Schizosaccharomyces pombe: one gene and its partner. The protein of the gene in region 2 interacts with the protein of the main gene of each other region in a pairwise test. Each region holds a gene or a part of one and is shown on either strand. Other genes may lie near its edges.

Region 1 (4,228 bases), on a different chromosome or scaffold from region 2:
AGAAGTAGCAAAAAGAGTATTGAAGAACGTTGTTTTTCCAGTACCTGAGGCTCCGCAAAGCATGATTGTTAAACCACATTCTTTTCTTTTTATTAAATTTTCTCTGTGGTATATTTGTTAATGAATGATTTATGAATTTATGACTAGATTGTAACGATAACATACCTTTTGGATGGTAGACTATCCAAATTTAATAATAATTGAAGGTTTTCAGTCAAAGACATCGTAAAAATTTATTTCTCGAACTATCTGTATTTTGCTCTTTAGTAGGTTCAGGTTTGTTTCAAACAGCGTTTATCAGCGAAATATAAACAAACAACCGAATGTCCAGTGATAAAAAGCACAGATAAATAAATAAATATGCCTCATCAAAAATTTTTAAATATACAAATTAAATTATCTACATAGAAGACTTTTAATTCTTTTTCACATCTTGTACCAAAATACTTTCATAATCCTGGTTTACCAGAGTTGAAACAAGAATACAAATAAAAACGATGCTCAAATTTACTAGCTCTTTAATCATTAGAAGAATAAACATTAATTTTTAAGACTAAATATGAACTTCTGTTGAATTAACTGCCTTGATCCAAAAAAAACACAAAACGTAAATTGTACTTTTTTTTATTTTTAAGACAGTCATATTCCAATGAATAAAACCATACAATAATGTACATTTTCTTTGACAGTGTCAAGGATCGAATAGAATTAAGTTTTCTTTGAAGAAACATTATTCAAAAAAGTATCTACACCAAAAGGATCAGCAATATCTTTCTCGAAAGTGACGGGGCCAGCACGAGACTAAGAAAAGTTAGTATTTAAGTAAAAGTATAAGATATTGAAACATACCTCTACGACTTCATCCGATCCTTTGAACTTTTTATGCGCATTTCCTAGTACATCATAACGACTTTCACTAGTAATACGTTCCAATTCTGCAGATGCATCAACTTGACGGGACAAAGTAGCACCCGGTCTATATAACGTTGATGAAGGTGCCGCCCGCCACGGTTTATCATACACATTGTAACTGTCTTCGTCTTGAAATCCGGATCCTAAGCCAGAAGCCTGATTAAATAATCTACTATCGATCATTGTATCGCTTGACATTGATGGTTTTGAAAGTCCTAAAGCAACCCTTTCAGCGACATCACGAGGTCGATCTTTTTCAGCAAGCTTAGCACGTTTTTCAGCACCCATTCGACTGAGACGAAGATCCTTTTCAGCTTGGCGTCTTCGCTCGCGGCGAAGTTCTTGACGACGGCGAAAAGCTTCTGAATCCTCATCTTCATTTTCTGACTCTGAATGATGCGAGAACGATCCAGCTCTGGAACGACTTCTTTCTTCAGAGGAGACAGAAGTAGAGCGGGGTTTTGCATGTGAAGGACCCGAAGAAGCCGCATTTCTACCCATACGATCTTCCCTTGCTTTTTGAGCAAGCATAAATAAACGTTGCTCCTTTTCCTGCTTTTCCTTTTCAGCCATCTTTTGGCGCATTATGGCACGATATCGGACCTCTTCACGAGCTTGACGCTCCACCGTGTACAATGCTTCAGAAAATTTGGCAAATCCATCGTTGATTTCAACATCATTAAGACCACGACCATCAGCGGCCAGCCGCTTATCCAATGGAATAGTGTAGCCTTTCGGATTTTTCCAATTAGAAATACTCGGAGGTATTTGCCAATCTTGTTGTTCTTGAGCAGAAACTTTTCGTGGAGGAGAATGCAAGACGGGAGGAGGAGGAGAAGGTGGTCCACGAGGAACCTTTTTGTGACGGAATTTTGGTGGTTCCATGGGATCCTGTTCAGCTGTGACCATTTTGATAATCCTCTGTTTGCTAAGTGCTTGTCCCATTTGATTGCTAGGAGTATATCGAATGTATACAGGATCGTCACGTTGTTGTACCACAGCACTTTTAGGTTGAGACTGAGCGATTTGTTTGGAAAGTATTTTTTGTAAGGCAAGCTTAGTTTTATTCGCTACTTCTTGCTTTTGCTCGTCAGACGGTTTCTCTAACGAAATTTCTCCCACACCTAGTCGTGCACGTAAGGGGATCAAATCTCGAAAGCTTGCCTGTACCAACTCTCCATGTTCGTGACCTTGTCGAGCAATGGCATTATAGTCAACAGCGCCCGAAGAAGTGACCTGTAGAGCCAATGTATTACCAGCAGATTTAGCTGACCTTTTTCTGCCCATATCCAAAGGATATTGTGCTACATGGATTTCGGGAAAAGCTCCACCATCGCCAAAGTCTTCAGGTGAAGAAGGAAACCATCCCTTTCTTTGTCCATAGGGAGGAATGTGAAATTTGACACCAATTTGTCTTTCATCTGCATGTGATGTTTCCCTCTCCACATAATCTTCCTCTTCATCGTCGAAATCAGGATTTGGAAGTATACTGCGGCGTTGTTAGTGAATTTGAGAAAAAAATATAAGTTTACCTAGAAAGTTCTTCGGATAAAAGGGCCATTTTTGGAAAATAATAAACAACTTTCCACTCAGATGTGTGAAGTGGTGTTGAGTACGAGTTGTATGGATATAATGGACATATGAATTCTGTTCGAATGAATCCAAAAGCTCTCGCAGCTTTGAGAAATAATTTAATAAATAAATCCTCAAATTACTTGGAAATTTACTTGCAAGAATGTATGAAAGAAAATCAATGCACGCATTACAACAACTGGTAAATGAAGCTAGTATTACGCTAGGTCACCTAAGTTAGGATTCCGTACTTGTTAGCATTAGTGTGAGCAACACAGTAGAATTATTGCGAATAAGGCACACGAGGAAATGCGTAATTCTTAAGTGTATTAACGATGCTTTTGACAACATAAATCATTTTCAGTGGGATATCTCACAGTTTTCATAAATACTATTCCGACACACTCGATTACGTTAGATGTTAAGAATTATCAGATCAACTTAGCAATGCGGCTTGTAACTATCTATACCTTTGTGTTTTCTTTCACTTTTTGCGAAGTTTATAAAGTTGAAATTAGCTCCCAACGTGCTTTATAACTTTCAAAAAAGTAGTGCCACGTTTATAGGAGATACATTTAATAAAGAAAAAGATTTGCCAAGCGATGAATAGTGAAAGTTAGCATACTTATGGCTCAATGCCTATATATAGTTGTCATTAGCCAGCTACCTTACAAAGTAATGAGAAATGAGCTGTAAGGCATGTTTGAACTTTCAATACTTCAAAAATATTGATTTAGGCGATCAATACGAATTGTACTAAAGTTTCTATATGTACCTCACCTTTTTTTAAATTTAAGTGGAGTTGATGGATTTTTCTCTCTTTATGTGTGTCTTCATGAGACTATCAAATCGCGTACTTTTTAACTCAATGGATATCATTTGATAGCAAACATAATTCAAACAATTTGCCTCTATTTTTTTTATTTAATAACGAGTCAAACTTACCGAAAGAACCATATAGTCAATGTTACTGAATCAATGAGATTTTGCGGATACGTTGGGTGTGGTTAAAAATTAATCAAATCTTGTTTTCTCCTCTATTCCTTTTTACTTTTTCAACGGTCTACTATGCAAAGTGACCTTGTGTAAGAATGAGAGTCAAAGAGAAAGCAACAGTATTTCATTATTTACACTTCTGTAACGTTTCACGCGAAACGCTGGTAATTGACTTGAACACAACTAAACTGCTGTTAACTGGAACAATTTATTGAAGTGGTTGTTTTTTTTGCCCATATTTGGTTGGACTTTCTGCCTTCTGTTTTCGTCACTTTACATGATTCTAGAGAATCGGTAAAATTGCCAAAGTCTTTCCGATAAAGCGGAACGAACGCAAGATATCAAAAATCAATACTATAAAAATTTTTGTTGTTGATTGCTAATGTTATAATAAGGGTCTGTTGCTCATAACCAGGTTTGGTTTAGTAGGTAAAAAGTTGTCTGAGCTAAAACCTCAACTTTTGTATAGTACTGATGCCCACGACAATTTCGCTTATTATATTTACATTTCTTTCACTTGGGGACTCGTGGAACGATTTCCCGTCAAGTAATGTGCCTGTTTATAACATGGTTACCGGCATATACGCTAAGTTTATGAAAAACTCCCCAAACTGGCCACTTTCACGATGCTGGTTATTCATCCCACAGTTTGCTGTTTACCCAGAATACTTTATACTTTCAATAAGAAACACTCGTAGAAGAAACGTACTTTGACTGCTCTCACGGTTAAAGTTGTCATATAGAGAGC
Region 2 (6,665 bases):
TCTTTCCTTAGGATCAGGAGGACCAAATTCATCACGTTTAGCCAAACATCGTGAAACTGGGCAATTAGCCGTAGTAAAACCGATTGTAGGATGGTCCGAGCTTACTTCGAGCCAACAGGCTAGGATAGAGGGTGAATTAGTTTTGCTTCGATTGATCGAGCATCCTAATGTTTTGCAGCTCATAGATGTGATTTCAGCCCAGGAGCAACTCTTTGTCGTAGTCGAATATATGCCAGGTGGTGAGCTTTTTGACTGCATGCTTCGTAAAGGAAGTTTTACTGAGCAAGATACGGCAAAGTTTCTATGGCAGATTTTGTGTGGATTGGAGTATTGTCATAAACTTCATATCTGCCACCGGGATTTAAAGCCAGAGAACTTATACTTGGATGCCCATGGTTCTATCAAAATCGGTGAATTCGGTATGGCGTCTATTCAACAGCCAGGAAAGCTTTTGCAGACTTCCTGCGGGTCTCCCCATTACGCATCCCCAGAAATTATTATGGGGCGTTCATATGATGGTTGTGCTAGCGATATTTGGTCATGTGGAATTATATTTTTTGCTTTGTTAACAGGGAAATTACCGTTTGATGATGACAACATTCGTTCTTTGTTGCTAAAAGTCTGTCAGGGTCAATTTGAAATGCCATCAAATATCTCTCCTCAAGCCCAACATCTGTTGTACCGCATGCTTGATGTTGATTCATCTACTCGAATTACCATGGAACAAATTCGTGAACACCCGTTTCTTAGTTGCTTTGTTCATCCCAATATTTCTATTCCAATCATATCAGCCCCTATACAACCCATTGATCCATTAATAGTGCAGCATCTCTCTTTAGTTTTCAGATGTTCCGATGATCCTATGCCCTTGTATGAAAAATTGGCATCTCAATCACCCTTGGTTGAAAAAACTCTATATACTCTACTGAGCAGACACTTGCATCCGCCTTCCAGCGCTGCAGTTGATCGCAACCGCGCTGTGGTCGATGATCTCCTTGGTACAGCAGCATCCAACGGGCAGCAAATGGACGAGGAAGAAATTGAACAAGCTATCAATATTCCTACTTTAGCGCCTTATCCAATTTCTTATGCTGCAGAGTCTGTTCCTCGACCTGCTACTTCTGCATCGCCATTTCTTACACCTGTTACCACTTCTGGCACTTTTAATTACTCTTTTAATGCTACCAACCCCCAATCCATACTTCAACGACCAGCCACTACATCTTCTGCTGTTCCTCAACTCCCAAAATCAGTTACCCCAGGACTTGCATATCCCCACGATAGTTCAATGCTGTCATCAAATTACCGACCTCCTTCTGCATTATCTCCTCGCAACTTTAACGTTTCTATAAACGATCCGGAAGTTCAACTAAGTCGTCGCGCTACTTCACTGGATATGTCAAATGATTTTCGTATGAATGAGAATGACCCTAGTATTGTTGGTAATTTAGCAGCTTCCAATTTCCCGACAGGTATGGGACCTCCAAGAAAGCGTGTCACTTCTAGAATGTCCGAACACACTGGTAATCGAGTCGTAAGCTTCCCGCGCGGCAGTGCTTTTAATCCAAGAGTTACTCGCTTCAACGTAGGAAATGAACAATTCTCTAATAATATTGATAATAATAACTATAATCAACCATACGCAAATGCAACCATGAACAACTCTCGTCGTCTTCGTACCCCTAGTGGGGAGAGATCAATGCGTGCTGATCTCTCTCAATCACCAGCCTCTTATGATTCGTTGAATGTTCCCAAACATAGAAGAAGACAATCGTTATTCTCTCCTTCTTCTACAAAGAAAAAGCTTTCCGGCTCACCTTTTCAACCAAAACGATCATTTTTAAGGAGATTATTTAGTAGTGAGCCTTCTTGTAAATGCGTCTATGCCAGCTTGGTTGCTTCAGAATTGGAACATGAAATTTTAGAAGTTCTTAGAAGATGGCAGCTTCTTGGTATCGGCATTGCTGATATTATATATGATTCTGTGAGTGCTTCGATATCTGCTCGTATTAAACGACAAAATTCACTTAATCTTAAACCGGTTCGGTTTAGAATATCGGTACTGGCTGAGTTTTTTGGTTCACAAGCTGTCTTTGTGTTGGAAAGCGGTTCTTCTACAACTTTTGACCATTTGGCTACAGAATTCCAGCTGATTTTTGAAGATAAGGGGTTTTTGGATAATTTGGAACTCTCTTATTTTCAAGCTTCGGCATCCAGACCTGTTTCTCGAATGAGTGTAAGTAGTAGTCCTTTTGCTGTATTTCGTCAACGACAATCCGTCCAAAGTTAAATTCTTTTATTATTATTATTATCATTTTTTTTTGATTCTCCAAAACCTTTGCAAACTTCATTTTTCTCGTGATGCTTTGGAAAAAAAAGGATTATCAAAAAAGCTAATCGTTTGATAATTGAACATAATGTATACTCGTGGAAGTATTGGAACTTTTTGAATTAAGCTTTCATTTTGTCCCATATTGGAACTCTTTTTATACACCAACAATATCTTTATAGACCTCCATTCTTTTTCTGATGTTTTTCTTTTACTTGTTCAACTTGCTATATGGAACCACGGTTATCCGGGAAGCAATAAATGCATTTAATGATTAAATTATATTTTGCTGCTCTGCTACAATGTTTCTCTTGGAACCTGTTGAGTTTTGTACATGTGATGTTGTACTTGGAACTTACTCCAATGATAATAACTTGCATGTCTGAAGCAAGGTAATTTTTGTATTTAGTATGACCGGCTATTGCTGGCATCTTTTTTGAAATACATTTTTCTTATTTAATTTAGGTATAAAATTTTTTATCTTAATCAATCTTTTCTTTTGGCTTTCTAACTCTTCGTTCTAAATCACAATCTTTTTAGTCTCGTTTATTTCAATCGATTTGACTTTTTCTTCATCTTATTTATCACAATCAACTAGCACTAGCGGATACAATTTCAATGAACTGCAGCATAGGTCGTATTATGTTTAGAAATTTATGACCCTTCTGCTTGTTCTGTATAAATTAAATTTATTCCAATTAAGTATTTGGTCGCTCAATGCTAATTAGTATGATATTAAATTTGAGTGGAATTCAATATGTAACCTGCTTACTTCGATAGTTGAAGAAATACATTTGAAGTTGTAGGATATCTAGGTTATCTGCATTGTACAAAGAGTCTGTTTTTTTGGAATGAAGTACGTGACATATTATTAAGCACTTTTAAAATTGTCTGTGCAATTGCCTTTTCAGTATTTTTAGCGAGGTTGCAACTTCAACTTATTACTTGAACAAGCAGCGAAAAACTGCAAGAAAATCGTGTAAAAACTAGTAAATACCATGGCTAATGTAGAGTTACAAACAAGTTTGGTAAGATCTTTTCCAAGCTCAAGCATTTAACATTTTTTAGGGAAAAATTCTTATTGAATTGTATACAGAACATGCTCCTAAAGTACGCATCAAGAATAAAGGACGAACAGTGTTGTTTGCTTTGAAAGTAGAATCGCTAACTTATAGACATGTCAAAATTTCTATACTTTAGCAAAAGAAGGATACTATGATGGTGTTATTGTAAGTTTTTTTCGCACTGTTTGCATCGTGCAAATAAGCATGTTGAAATATGAGTCTACAATTTAATATTTCAAGTGTGTTATTTTATTGATTTAACTGTTCACATTTACATGATGGACTCAGTCAGTCATATAAATATGTGTCCTATAATTCATTCAATATCGTATTTGATTTAATTCGTGAAATTGGTACTAATTAAATTAGTTTCACAGAGTTATTCCAGACTTTGTAATTCAAGGAGGGGATCCCACAGGTACAGGTCGAGGTGGAACTTCTATATATGGGTAGGCAAAGCTTTATAAATCGGCATTCACCGATTGTTTGCATCTTTATTACGAAGTTTTCACATTCTTATTAATTGATTAGGGATAAATTTGACGATGAGATTCATTCCGATTTACATCACACTGGAGCTGGCATTTTATCAATGGCCAATGCTGGACCTAACACAAATTCATCACAGGTATGATGACTTTGTTTACACTAACTTTAACCATCTTCAGTTTTTTATCACTCTAGCACCTACTCCTTGGTTAGACGGAAAACATACAATTTTTGGTCGTGTTGTTAGCGGGCTTTCTGTGTGCAAGCGTATGGGTCTTATCCGAACGGATTCATCTGACCGCCCAATTGAACCTTTAAAAATCATTAAAGCTGTTGCACTTTAAATTATTCTTTAAAGGATATTCAAAGGTTTTAATCTATAAGTCTTTTTTCGATTTTTCAACACATCCTGAAGATATTGACTAAAGTTATTTGTCACGGATATTAAAAGCTAAATTAATAGTTGATAAAGAGAAGCATTTCCTTACAAAAGGTGGACTTTTTAATTGAAGTCAAATTTTACAAGTCAAGTGGAATAACATAAGCTTCTAAGAAGGAATTAACTAGTTTTCTAGCTTAAGAAATTGGAGATGGATTTTGTTACGCATATCAACCTAGTTGTTTGACCATAAACGATTGAACAAAAACCTTTTACAACGTTAGCATTGCTTCCGGTACTTTTCTCCTTATCAAAAATTTTACAATTGTATTTTTTTCTTAATTAGAAGATTAAAGCTCGGGCCAAATATACAACTACAAGAGTTTATTGGACTAGATTACTCAAATACTATTGCTTCAGTTTTTTTGTTACAACGTGGGATGTTATTTTAAAAAAAATTCAGAATCAAAATAAAGTCCAATGCATAAAAACGGCATGAATCCTTCTCTTTTTTATTTAATTCTTCTTTTAATTGTTTACGCCAATTTGTGTGATCCATAATTAGCAAATTATTTTACGTGTTTTAACGTATTACGTTATAATTGTAATTAAGCAAATAAATGATATTTGTCAATTGAAGGTTCGAATGTAGTGGTCACGGAATACTCACAAGCATGATAATAATGTTTTTTAAGGTCCTAATATATCTAATTGACCTTTCACAGCTAGACATATCAACATATGACCAAAACTTAGCTTCATTCCTCAAGCGGGAAACATTCATTAACTGAAATTGTCCATGAGAAAGACTTTTTCTATTGAAAGATAAGTTTGAAAAGGCTACAAACTTTAAATACTTTTAATAAAGTAATTTTATTAACTAACTATTCCTTTGCTTACTTATAGATTTAAGATACTAAGCCACAGTTACGCAAAATTGGATAATGAACTTTAGTGACATAGGTTTTACACTGAGTAGTTGACTTTGGAGCGTGTTATTTACATGCAATTTCCTAACACGTTTCGCCTGGAGCATGGCACTTTTAAAAACGATGCCAATCATAAGGTCTCTAACGCGTGGAAAATCGATTAGATTACTTCAAAAACAATCAACGAAAAGAACTAATCCGTGCGTCTATTTAGAAGCAAAAGCTGTTGAACAAACACCGGCTACTGAGTTTAACAGTATACTTCAGGAAATAATTTCGACAGAATACAATTACTCTGTTGATTTAAAGAAAACATTAAATGTAACGATTACTATAGCAAATATTATGCTCGTGTTTACTAGTTTGTGATTACTTACATTTTAGGAAATTATAATGCCAATCGAAGGCCAAAGTATGGAAAGGGAGGCGATTGGAATTTGCACGTGCTTTAAGACTTTAAATCAGTTACACACGAAGTTATATCAACAAATGATTTCCAGTGGCTCTCCAGTATATTCATTGTCGCAATCTTTACCCGCTTTTCGTGATGTTTACCACATGTATACCATCAATTTAAGTGGAATATCTGCCATTGAAAAAATAATTTCTGATCCTTCTTCGTGCAACAGTCAGCTTTTAATTCCATTGCAACACTTGTTGAGATATCCTATACATTTAGCACGTGTTTGTAAAATGTTACGGAAATATCCATTTTTGAATGGAGATTTTCGGATGGCGGTCAAAACACTTGACGATTTTCGAGAGTTATGTTCTTATATAGACCAAGAAAAAGCCCGCGAGGAAAGTTATCAAGTACTTAGTGCACTGTGTGGAAACCAGGGTGTTGCGGTGGACATTCCAAGGCATATAAAATTTAAAGGGTCAGTTATTCCAGCTACTTCATTTATTTATGATTTTAATGCCTGCGTCTTTTGCGACGATGGATTGGTTGTTTGGACGAGGTATGTTAAAAAAATCGAAATGAAGGCCGTTTCGATAGAACAATGTCTTCGAGTAGATGAACTTTCAAACTCTATTTTAGTTTGTACTTTAAATATGAAGGGGAAGCTTTTAAACCGTCATTTGGCACCTCAAACTATGGCTGCTTCTGTTTTTCTTAAGTGGTATCATGAAAGAGCTGGTATCTCAAATGGCAAAGAAAATAAATTAAACCGATTGAAAGTTGTCAATGCTAAAACATAAACTAATTTCTTTCTTTTTCTTTTTTTAATATTAAACGATATTTTTTTTCTATTATTCACTCGTTACCTAAAATTTGCTGAACATAATGACAAATATGTTAAACCAAAATTTATTGTCAACTTACTTCTTCATTCTTGTTATCCTTGTCTTACCAACTTTGAAAGATATTTTCCTCAATTAAAAATTTACTTCTCACCTTCGTTACCTTAATATGGGCATTATTATTAACCAAATAGTTTAAATAATATCTTTATCCTTTAATAATATTTATT

What was found.
Region 1: the proteins of cyp1 (region 2) and prp45 interact in a two-hybrid assay, tested with the Schizosaccharomyces pombe proteins (2 studies listed by BioGRID).

What each region holds. Positions count from the first base shown.
Region 1 is NC_003421.2:1,500,937-1,505,164, reverse strand, and holds prp45 (Prp19 complex subunit Prp45), read right to left. Parts: upstream 2,523-4,228; 5' UTR 2,474-2,522; coding exon 2,445-2,473; exon of another isoform or gene 2,402-2,444; coding exon 850-2,401; intron 802-849; coding exon 709-801; 3' UTR 501-708; downstream 1-500. Other genes in the region: septin Spn6, read right to left, coding at 1-103, 166-224; SPOM_SPCC188.14 (uncharacterized protein), read left to right, coding at 3,955-4,194. UniProt on the Schizosaccharomyces pombe protein: Involved in pre-mRNA splicing.
Region 2 is NC_003424.3:1,364,884-1,371,548, forward strand, and holds cyp1 (cyclophilin family peptidyl-prolyl cis-trans isomerase Cyp1), read left to right. Parts: upstream 1-3,276; 5' UTR 3,277-3,327; coding exon 3,328-3,357; exon of another isoform or gene 3,358-3,397; coding exon 3,398-3,439; exon of another isoform or gene 3,440-3,504; coding exon 3,505-3,558; intron 3,559-3,628; exon of another isoform or gene 3,629-3,762; coding exon 3,763-3,842; exon of another isoform or gene 3,843-3,924; coding exon 3,925-4,021; exon of another isoform or gene 4,022-4,061; coding exon 4,062-4,226; 3' UTR 4,227-4,691; downstream 4,692-6,665. Other genes in the region: serine/threonine protein kinase Cdr2, read left to right, coding at 1-2,290; mug10 (Rho guanine nucleotide exchange factor), read left to right, coding at 5,296-5,511, 5,575-6,393.